Linked DNA regions of Drosophila melanogaster. The protein of the gene in region 2 interacts with the protein of the main gene of each other region in a pairwise test. Each region holds a gene or a part of one and is shown on either strand. Other genes may lie near its edges.

Region 1 (3,590 bases), about 13 Mb from region 2:
CAAAAAAAAAAATGAATGTAAATCCCAAATTGATACCCTGTACTTTCATGGGGCTAGTTGTTACGGCCATACAAGGTTTGATAGACGCGGCCGACGAGCAATTGAATGGCCAAGACAAGCAGAGGGCGACGAGCGACACTGAAACTGATTCGAATAAGGTTAGAGACCTTCAAAGGGTCCGGCACGGCAATCCTTGAACATATAATTTGTAACAAGAACTTAATCTTTTTGTTTATTAACCAAGATCCTTCGACTAATTGAGTTTTGTTGCGTTTCACCTAACCACAACGAATTGAAGTAATTAATGCGTTCGATTTCTGATTTCTTGCGTTTTGAGGCTGTATAGAATTGCTTAGCTCTCACATTCTACTGACTGTTTCGAGAGTGTCCTCTCTAACCGTATTATATCCTGTGTATCCTGTGCAGAAAAACGACAACGAAAAAACGAGGGAGCAACCACTAGACAAGCAGAACCTATCCAATGGACATGCAAGCAGCACCGACCAAAATCCGGAGCAGGAGACCGTGGCGAAGGGAGCCAGGAAACGGCGGGATCTAAGCGCTGAACAGGAACTGACGGTATGCCATTATATACCCTGTATAGCACCTTTGAGTACGTAGATCTTTGCCGTAAATAATCGAATATTGGTGCAGGTACTCGGCATGGAGTTAACAGCCAGTTGCGAGGGCGGCCACAAGTGGACTGGACGCCCTCCAACGCCTGTTTTCCGAGCGCCAAGCGAACATGTAAGTGCCACTGACGCACAGACCCCCCACCACTTTCAAGTTCTCAACTTAACTAGACTAGTTTCGACTAACTGCTACCCTAACGCTTTCAATATATCCCTACAAAAAAAAGTGATTAAACTGGGATGTTTCCTACGCTCTCAACCTCCTCTGCGCATATGTGTTGAAGCTTTTAAATATGTATATCAGAAATACTAAATAGAATCCCTCTTCGATTTCAGTCCAAATTGGAAGACAACTTGCCGGAGCCGCAGTCCATTTACTTGGAAGGCGCTTTGGCCCATGAGTCCCAGATTTTGGTTGCCGACTCCCAGATCAAACGCGAAGAAGTCTACGACTCGGAGCTCAATGGCTCAGCCGAGGAACCAGCCGTATGGATAAGCCATTCTACTAAACTATATCAATTAATTAACTTAATTAACTTGCAGATCATTCTTAGCAGCAGAATGACATTGTCATTGATTAATTTGGACGCAAATCAACAAAATGGAAATGCAGGCAAATCCGCAGTGGAAAGTCCTCTGGCTGATGACATCGAAATAATTGGACACGACGAGCAGTAGATCGATTTTTATATATATATAATTTGGCAATGAACACGACTTGATTCAGACGAAACTAACTAATTGCAAGGGCCGAGTGAAATTTCGTTGCTAATTTCGTTGAACGACGAACATTATGACTGATTGCCACGAAACAGATTTGCCAATAATTTGATATCTGATTTGTATATATATACATATTGTATGTTTTGATATCTTCGTTTTGATTTTAAAACGCCAACGTTGTGTCTACTCCCTCTAAAGTAAACCTTAAAACTTTATGCTCTTGAAAACCTTAATCATTTTCGGTCAAAACTTAAAGCCAAACTTGCATGTCTAGAAAACTCTTTAGCTCGTTTAGAAAACCGCGTCTTTGTGAACTGCATGATTTTGTGTGAATACTCTTAGTTGAAAGTCAATGCAAAACTAGTCTACCATTAAGCTAAGCGCATATGTATTTCAAGCCGCATCGTCTAATCAAAATCCGTAGCTACTTGGCAATGAAATTACCTTAAAAAAAAATCCAATCGATCGCACGTAAATCGTATGATTAAACAAATAAAGTTAGTGCCACGGCGTTTGTGAACCTAGTATAATGAATAAATTGAAAACCGAACTTGACATCCACATGTGTTTTGAATTTTAAATTAATACATAGTTATAATGAAATTTCATTCCTTAATATTTTCCAATTATAATTTTCTAAAAAATTAGTTTTTCAAACTAACAGTGCTGTAACATTTTGATTAACAGAATGCGCCTTACAGCACAAAGAGTGAATTTTTCCTTCTGCTCGTGTGTATACACTGGCGAACAGCTGTTTTTTGTCAATCTCCGCCACAATAATTACGTAAATTTCGGCAGGTTAGCAATTTTTTGTATATTCCACAGTAATTCTGCGCAACTTACCACTAGCCATGCTCCTAAGGGATAGCGTTCACAGAACAATCACTAATGTTCCTTGTGACTGGAGACACAATGGGTGTTCCGTAATTCTTACGTTTGATTGTGGCTAATGTTTTTGGACCTCCATACCTTCCGTAGCAAACCATGTCGCTGCTCCGTTCGAAATACTACGACCATCCCGATGGCGAGGATGCCTTTGGCAAGATCGTGGCCACCAACAAGTACGCGGTATCCGCCGGCGTGGCCTGGTCCATGTTCGACGTCCTGACGCTCTCCAAGCCGCAAGGATATCTGCCCACACTGGGCCGTTTCGCCTACAACACGGGTCCGCTGATGGGCATGGCCACGGCGTTCACTCTGACCACCCTGGTGGCCACAAATGCGCGCGGCAAGGACGATAAGTGAGTAAGCAGCCCACCTGTTGATGGCTATTGGTCCTAACCATGTTTGAATTGCAGAATCAACTACCTGATCGGCGGTTTTGCGGCTGGCGGCGTCTTTGGAGCCTGGAAACACAACCACGTAGCTGGTCTGTGCGCCGGCCTCTTCCTGGGTTAGTTCCCTCGCTTCCTATGAAACTAAAGCACTAGAGTTAACCACTCACTCTTTTCAGGCATCGCTGGTGTCATCAAGAAGATGTCCATTGAACAGGGCTGGGAGTTCTTCCCAAACACACCGATCAAGCAGTATGGTGGTCTGAACATTGCCGGAAACGACTGGACCATCATGGCCGATCCTCCCAAGAACTGGACCACGGAAAAGCCAAAGGAGTAAAGAAGGCGTAAAGTCTAGTTTCCTATGTTTAGTTTAATGGTGATTCGATGAGAGAAAGATTCGGCACTAACCGCTTGCCTTGCAACCGAATAAAAGCCAAGTCAGAAGTGATAATGCCAAGGCAGCTGTCGCCATTCCTCGGCTGTCCATTAACCCTATCTAATGGTGCCACAGGCTGGGCTTCGTTAGCCGTCTCGATATGCAAACGGCTCGAATGTGTCACAGAAACTTATCAACAGTTGGCGTGAATGAATGACGGCGGCCCAGGCGGTAAATCGGGGAAACCAAAGGGGCGGCAAGCGCAAAAGCAACTAACCAAAAAAAAAGGGGGGGGGGGTGGTAAACAAGTCACGCTCGCAGCTCAGCGGAGTCTTATGTGCTGCCAACAGTTTATTTCTTTATTTTCATCGGCCCATTTAAAATCCATGAATGTGCATTTACTCATGTTTTTTGTTTTGGCTCTTTTCACTTGGCGAGGTGAGTCATGCCCCAAGCATACATATGTAAGTATGCTTGGCCATTGGTAAGAGATGCCATTGTACGCATACTAATGTTGGCTCTTAGGTTCTTTTATTGGGCTTCGAAATTGGAATCCATCGATTGAATCTGTGGGCTGCCCAC
Region 2 (5,198 bases):
CTCATGCCACCAGCCAAAAAACCGGTTCAAAATCTCTGGAGAGCAAAGTTAAAACATATCATTACTTGCTCTACAATTAGATAGAAGCCATAGTCTTTAATACAGCAAAAAACGACGGATGAATTCCCTGACGAAGATTTGTTAAGTTAATCCCATTGATCGGTACTGCAGTGACCTTTAGTATATTTAGTCTCAGTGTTATCATTCGTACACAACTGTTATGTGATCAGTCACACCTATCGAGCGATGTTATCTAGAGGGGACTTTGATCCCACACATTGAGATTGTCTAGATGGAGCACCTACCTGTGGGAGTGTTTCCCATCTGATGAGCATTGCCCACCAAAGGCAGCATACTTGGGCCTTGGAATTTGTTCAGCATTCGCTTTCGCCGCAGTAGTCCAAGCTCGAAATAGGTCACCAAGAACAGTGGAAGGGCAAGAAAAGCGCACAGTACGATCCACATTTTGAATGCGACCACAGACAACCGATCGGTGCAGCGAGTAAATCGGATTTGAGTAGAAACCTCAAGACTCTCTGCGTCAGTACTTCAACCGGTTGCGGCAGACAGTTCTCAGTCTCTCGCGCTTGGATATACATCCACACATAAGAAGCAGCCTATGACTATCTCCCAAATTTTAAACTAATATATGGGCACTCAGCATGACCTTCTATATGCTGCGACTAAGTTTCTTGATGAACATTTCTCTTGAAAATGGCTTACACGTGTGGAAACTATAATTTCAAATTTTTTAAGCTAATTAACATAGTCTCAATGGTTCAAAGATTAAAACGAGTTGATTTGTTTCAAAAGTTTTATGTGTTGTATGAGACAAAGTGATTAACAGCTTCCTAATAATTGTATCTGTGGGGACGGCATACCTAAAAAAACACAGGTATGCAAAATTAAAGCACCAAACTTAACAGAGATCAATAAATTGACATTTTAGTGCCTTTCCTTCAGCCGAATGTATAGACCATTTTCGGATTTCAGGGTCAGCACAGCGGAAAGAATAGGGTCGTATTTGTGACGGTATGGATCGCGCTTCTTCCTCTCGGCATCAGGGAGTCCAATAGTGGTGCTTATATAGCCATCCTTAGAGACGAGCTCATCCAGAGCAGGAAGCACCTCGAAGTTCCTAATGATCTTGGATACCACAGTCTTAATCTCCAGCAGGGCGAACTTCTGACCAATGCAGTTTCGGGGTCCAGCGCTGAAGGGTACATACTCAAAAGGTCCTGGTTTCTCCAGCTCAAAGCGCTCAGGTCGGAACTTGTGGGGATCTTTGAACACCTTTTCGTTATAACCCAGCATCACGAGACCCAGGTTCAGTGTGGTGCCCTTGGGTACGAGATCCCCATCTATAAGCAAGTATGGTACTGTTATGTAAAGCTCTTTAAATTGCTTTAATTAATGGTTACCTATAACATAGTCTTTCTCCGTAAATCGTCCAATGAAAGGCACGCTGGGATAAACACGCTGGGCCTCCTTGATAAAGAGATCCAAGTACTTCATTTGGGATATTTCCTGGAAGGTGGCATCGCGACCCAGTTCGGAATTACCCATTACTTCGCGTTGCTCCTTAAATAGTTTGCGCTATAATAGCAAGGGAAGTTAGTCATTTAAAGATTTGGCGTCTCAAGCAATGTACTGAACCTGTTCATCTTGATGTCTAGAAAGCAAATAGACAGCGAACGACACTCCAGAAGTGGTAGTATCATGTCCTTCAAACATAAATGTGGAGACCTCTTCGTACAGTTCCTTGGAGTTCAGGGGACGACCATCAATAGTGGAGGACAGCAGAGTGTCTAAAAAGGCCATTTTCTTGCGAGTGAACTCATCTCCCGCGTTGGTCGAAACTGCACCCGATTTGTGGGCTTCAATGCGCTTAGCGATGATCTCGTTGGTAAAGTCCTGCAGTGTTTTTAGAGTCCTGCTATAGGCCGGGTAGTCCGGAGCCAAACGATACAGCAGTTCATTGCGCTTCAGCGGGTGGAAGGCTCTCATGTTGATGTTGTAGCACATGCTGAAAAGGATCAAGAGTCATGCAATCTGATAGTTCGACTACGAGGTACGAAACTAACTCTTTGAAGGCCTGCACAATGGAAGAGCTGCGGTTTTCCATGGCATTGATGGACACACCCATCGCTGTGTCGCAAATGACATCCAGGGTCAAATAGTGGGCCTGTTCTTGGAAGTCGAATATATTGTCCCCGGCAGCAACTGTCTTTAAGTGCTTGATAAACTTGGTGGAGTTCTCGTTCATCACCTCGTGGAAGTCCTGCAGGATGTTGAAGTGGAATGCTGGGGTGATCATCTTGCGGTGTTTATGCCATTTGCTGCCAGTACTGGTGAGGAGACCTAATCCCAGCCAAGGGTGTGTTAGTTGATAAATGTCGGACTTTGTGATCAGCGTCTGACTGCTGAGTATGAACTGAAGAAGTACGAAAATAATAGAGTCACATGATTACATGATTGGTGGAAATTCGCTGTAACTCACTTCAAGGTACTTGGAGCTGGTGACCAATACATTAGAATACGTTCCAATCCAAAAGACGAAGTTGTCTTTTCCATACTGATGCCACCAGGAGAAAACCGTGTCGAGTATTTCTATATAGACGTGAGAAAATGCCATTAGTAGGCGGATCGCGTACCAATATCGGTATTCCGTAGATAATCATTGCTTGTTTTTGGCACGCGATTTTCAGTATTCATTAGTGCAGTATAATACATACATACATACATCGTATATTACACAACACAAATCAAAGCCTCGTCATTATTTTTGCGATACTCGACCTAGGCTACGATTAGCCCATTTCTACAAGTGCCAGTAGCCCCATTATCTGATAGTTAACACCCTTGTTTTCCGGTCGTAAAGTCGCTGGCCCAAAATAACCTTACTTGAATAGCCTCGCCGCTGAGTAGATTCGATGCGCAGTTACCTCAGTCACAACGCTATTCGAGATGGGTAATTTCAGGTGTGTCCTCTGCGTGGCTAACGCTACGACTTTTCCGGCTCCTATGAAAAACCCACCTGACGGATTCTTGCCCATTTGATGAGCGTTTCCCATCAGCGGCAGGCCGCGGGGGCCGTTGAACTTGTTAAGCACTCTTCTCCGGCGGAATGTGCTCAACTCCAGATATGCAACCAGCAGCAGTGGTAGGGCCAGAAAAATATACAACACGAACCACATTTTCGATCGCGAGTTCCACGACAACCGTCCAGCCCGCGAATCACTGGAAATATGAGAGCTTATTTGGGCCGGCGGGCGGTTTAAATACGAGAGATACCAATATCAGCCAGCTCCCCAGTCGCTTGCTCCCTTATCTGCCGTTTTCCTAATCCAACTGTAGTCTCCCGAATATAAGTATATATTTTGGTGCTTTCAGCATGACTTGCCGAATCAATATCAGGTTTTTTAAGATGAGCCCCCTGATTAATCGTTAGATGAGATGGAGAACCAATAGTTTTCGAGACTGCGCTTAAATGTGTAACAGTTAACTTTTTTTAAAACTGTATCCAGTATATATTGTTTTATGGCAGCAAAAAATGGAATAAAACAAAACGTTGATAAACATTCGCTCACAACAAGAAAGAGAAATCGGGAGAATTGATGAACACATTATGTTTGCAAAATGTTTTTAAGATTACTCTTACAGAAATTGAAGAGAAGAGAGAGAAAGTCGCTTGCTCTTCTTAGCTTATCAGCAGCAAGACTTAAATTTGGTAGAAATCACAGACGTAAGGTAAAATCCACTGCAAATTTAAATTTACATTTACATTTAAGAAATGATATCAGCACAGTGTGCGTTTATTTTTCGATTATTCTGTTCCGCTCCGTCACGTTTTGAGTTACATATGTAAATAGAAGCAATCTTTTTGGAAGAGTTTTATAGAGATAGTTTTAGAACTGAGAGACGCACATGGCTATATCGATATAATATCAGTCAATAAAACATGATACTGATCAAGAATATATATACTTTATATTCTCGCTGCAAAATTCGAACTTAAGCCAAACACGAAAAACGTTTTAAAAGAAATCCAATTTTTTACATTGTCTCTGCATCATGACTTGTAGTATGATAAAAGCATTATAAAAGCATATGGGAAATGCATTCTTTCGTAAAAATATGCTTTCGGAAACGAGTTAATTTGTGAATTTACATCAAAATGAATAGCTTTGAAGATAAATCTAGTGGAAGAGAAGAAAATGTTAAAAAGCGGCATTATTCTGTTCGTTGTTCTTCCGTTATCAGCACAATGCTATATATTTTTCAAGAAAACGCTGTTATGTATAATTACATTATATATATATATGTTATATTTATATTTGCTAAAGCAAATAAATTACTTTGGACGGCATTCCACCTAGTGACTAATCGCACTAGGAGTGTGTGCGAATGCGACTGCTATATGTACATATATATATACACAATTAAATGATAAGTTCTGTAGTTGTACGAACTTAAGAAATGTTTATACTTATGTATATGGTAATTCTTAATTTTTTGTCCTATTTTGAAAAAAAAAAACTATTTAAACTTATTCGTTTTAAAATTCAATGCTGTGTAGCTATTAAAATTCCTTATTAATATTAAAATTTTTTTAAATGCATTAATAAATTGAAAAGTCATGATCGTCTGGTAAGTATAAATATAAATATAAACACCAATCAAATTTTTTTTTAAATTTATATGTATTTAGTTGTTAATATCAATCTTTTTACCACACACCTTTTCAATTTGATTGCTTTTCCAAAAGTTATCTATTTTGTGTTTACTATGTTGAACAAACAGCTTATCGTGCCGTTGTTAATCCCTCAATCAAAAGTGTCCCTATTAATAATTATTGCGTGTCAAAAATTATGGCTACCGCCCTAATTCATTATCACGAAGCGACTAACAATCGTTTATTGGCCCCAAATCTTCTGGCGATACCAAAAGGCCTTTAGACCTACACGTCATCAGTTTAGTGAGTCAATTCCCACTAGGTAGTCCACAATAGTTATATTTATCAATTACCGACGGCAATAAAGTACTATGTTAATAGTACATCGATTGCAAGCAACAAACAAAAAATAAAATGCATAAAGTTCAGATAAGCTATCGAAGGCATAATCGGGCGAAAATTGGTCACCGACTAATCTGCGAATGTTACGGCAAACCACAGTCTGTGCGGCATTGCGAGCGAG

Evidence for each region.
Region 1: the proteins of Cyp4e2 (region 2) and ND-B14.7 interact in a two-hybrid assay, tested with the Drosophila melanogaster proteins (one large-scale study listed by BioGRID).

The regions. Positions count from the first base shown.
Region 1 is NT_033778.4:21,023,008-21,026,597, forward strand, and holds ND-B14.7 (NADH dehydrogenase (ubiquinone) B14.7 subunit), read left to right. Parts: upstream 1-2,070; 5' UTR 2,071-2,153; intron 2,154-2,333; 5' UTR 2,334-2,339; coding exon 2,340-2,596; intron 2,597-2,653; coding exon 2,654-2,748; intron 2,749-2,808; coding exon 2,809-2,969; 3' UTR 2,970-3,079; downstream 3,080-3,590. Other genes in the region: RIC-3 (RIC3 acetylcholine receptor chaperone), read left to right, coding at 427-579, 655-747, 969-1,118, 1,176-1,310.
Region 2 is NT_033778.4:8,442,770-8,447,967, reverse strand, and holds Cyp4e2 (cytochrome P450 4e2), read right to left. Parts: upstream 3,409-5,198; 5' UTR 3,295-3,408; intron 3,258-3,294; exon of another isoform or gene 3,241-3,257; 5' UTR 3,198-3,240; coding exon 3,038-3,197; intron 2,987-3,037; exon of another isoform or gene 2,887-2,986; intron 2,611-2,886; coding exon 2,501-2,610; intron 2,435-2,500; coding exon 2,085-2,434; intron 2,027-2,084; coding exon 1,657-2,026; intron 1,597-1,656; coding exon 1,422-1,596; intron 1,362-1,421; coding exon 946-1,361; 3' UTR 804-945; downstream 1-803. Other genes in the region: Cyp4e1 (cytochrome P450 4e1), read right to left, coding at 1-35, 306-465. UniProt on the Drosophila melanogaster protein: May be involved in the metabolism of insect hormones and in the breakdown of synthetic insecticides.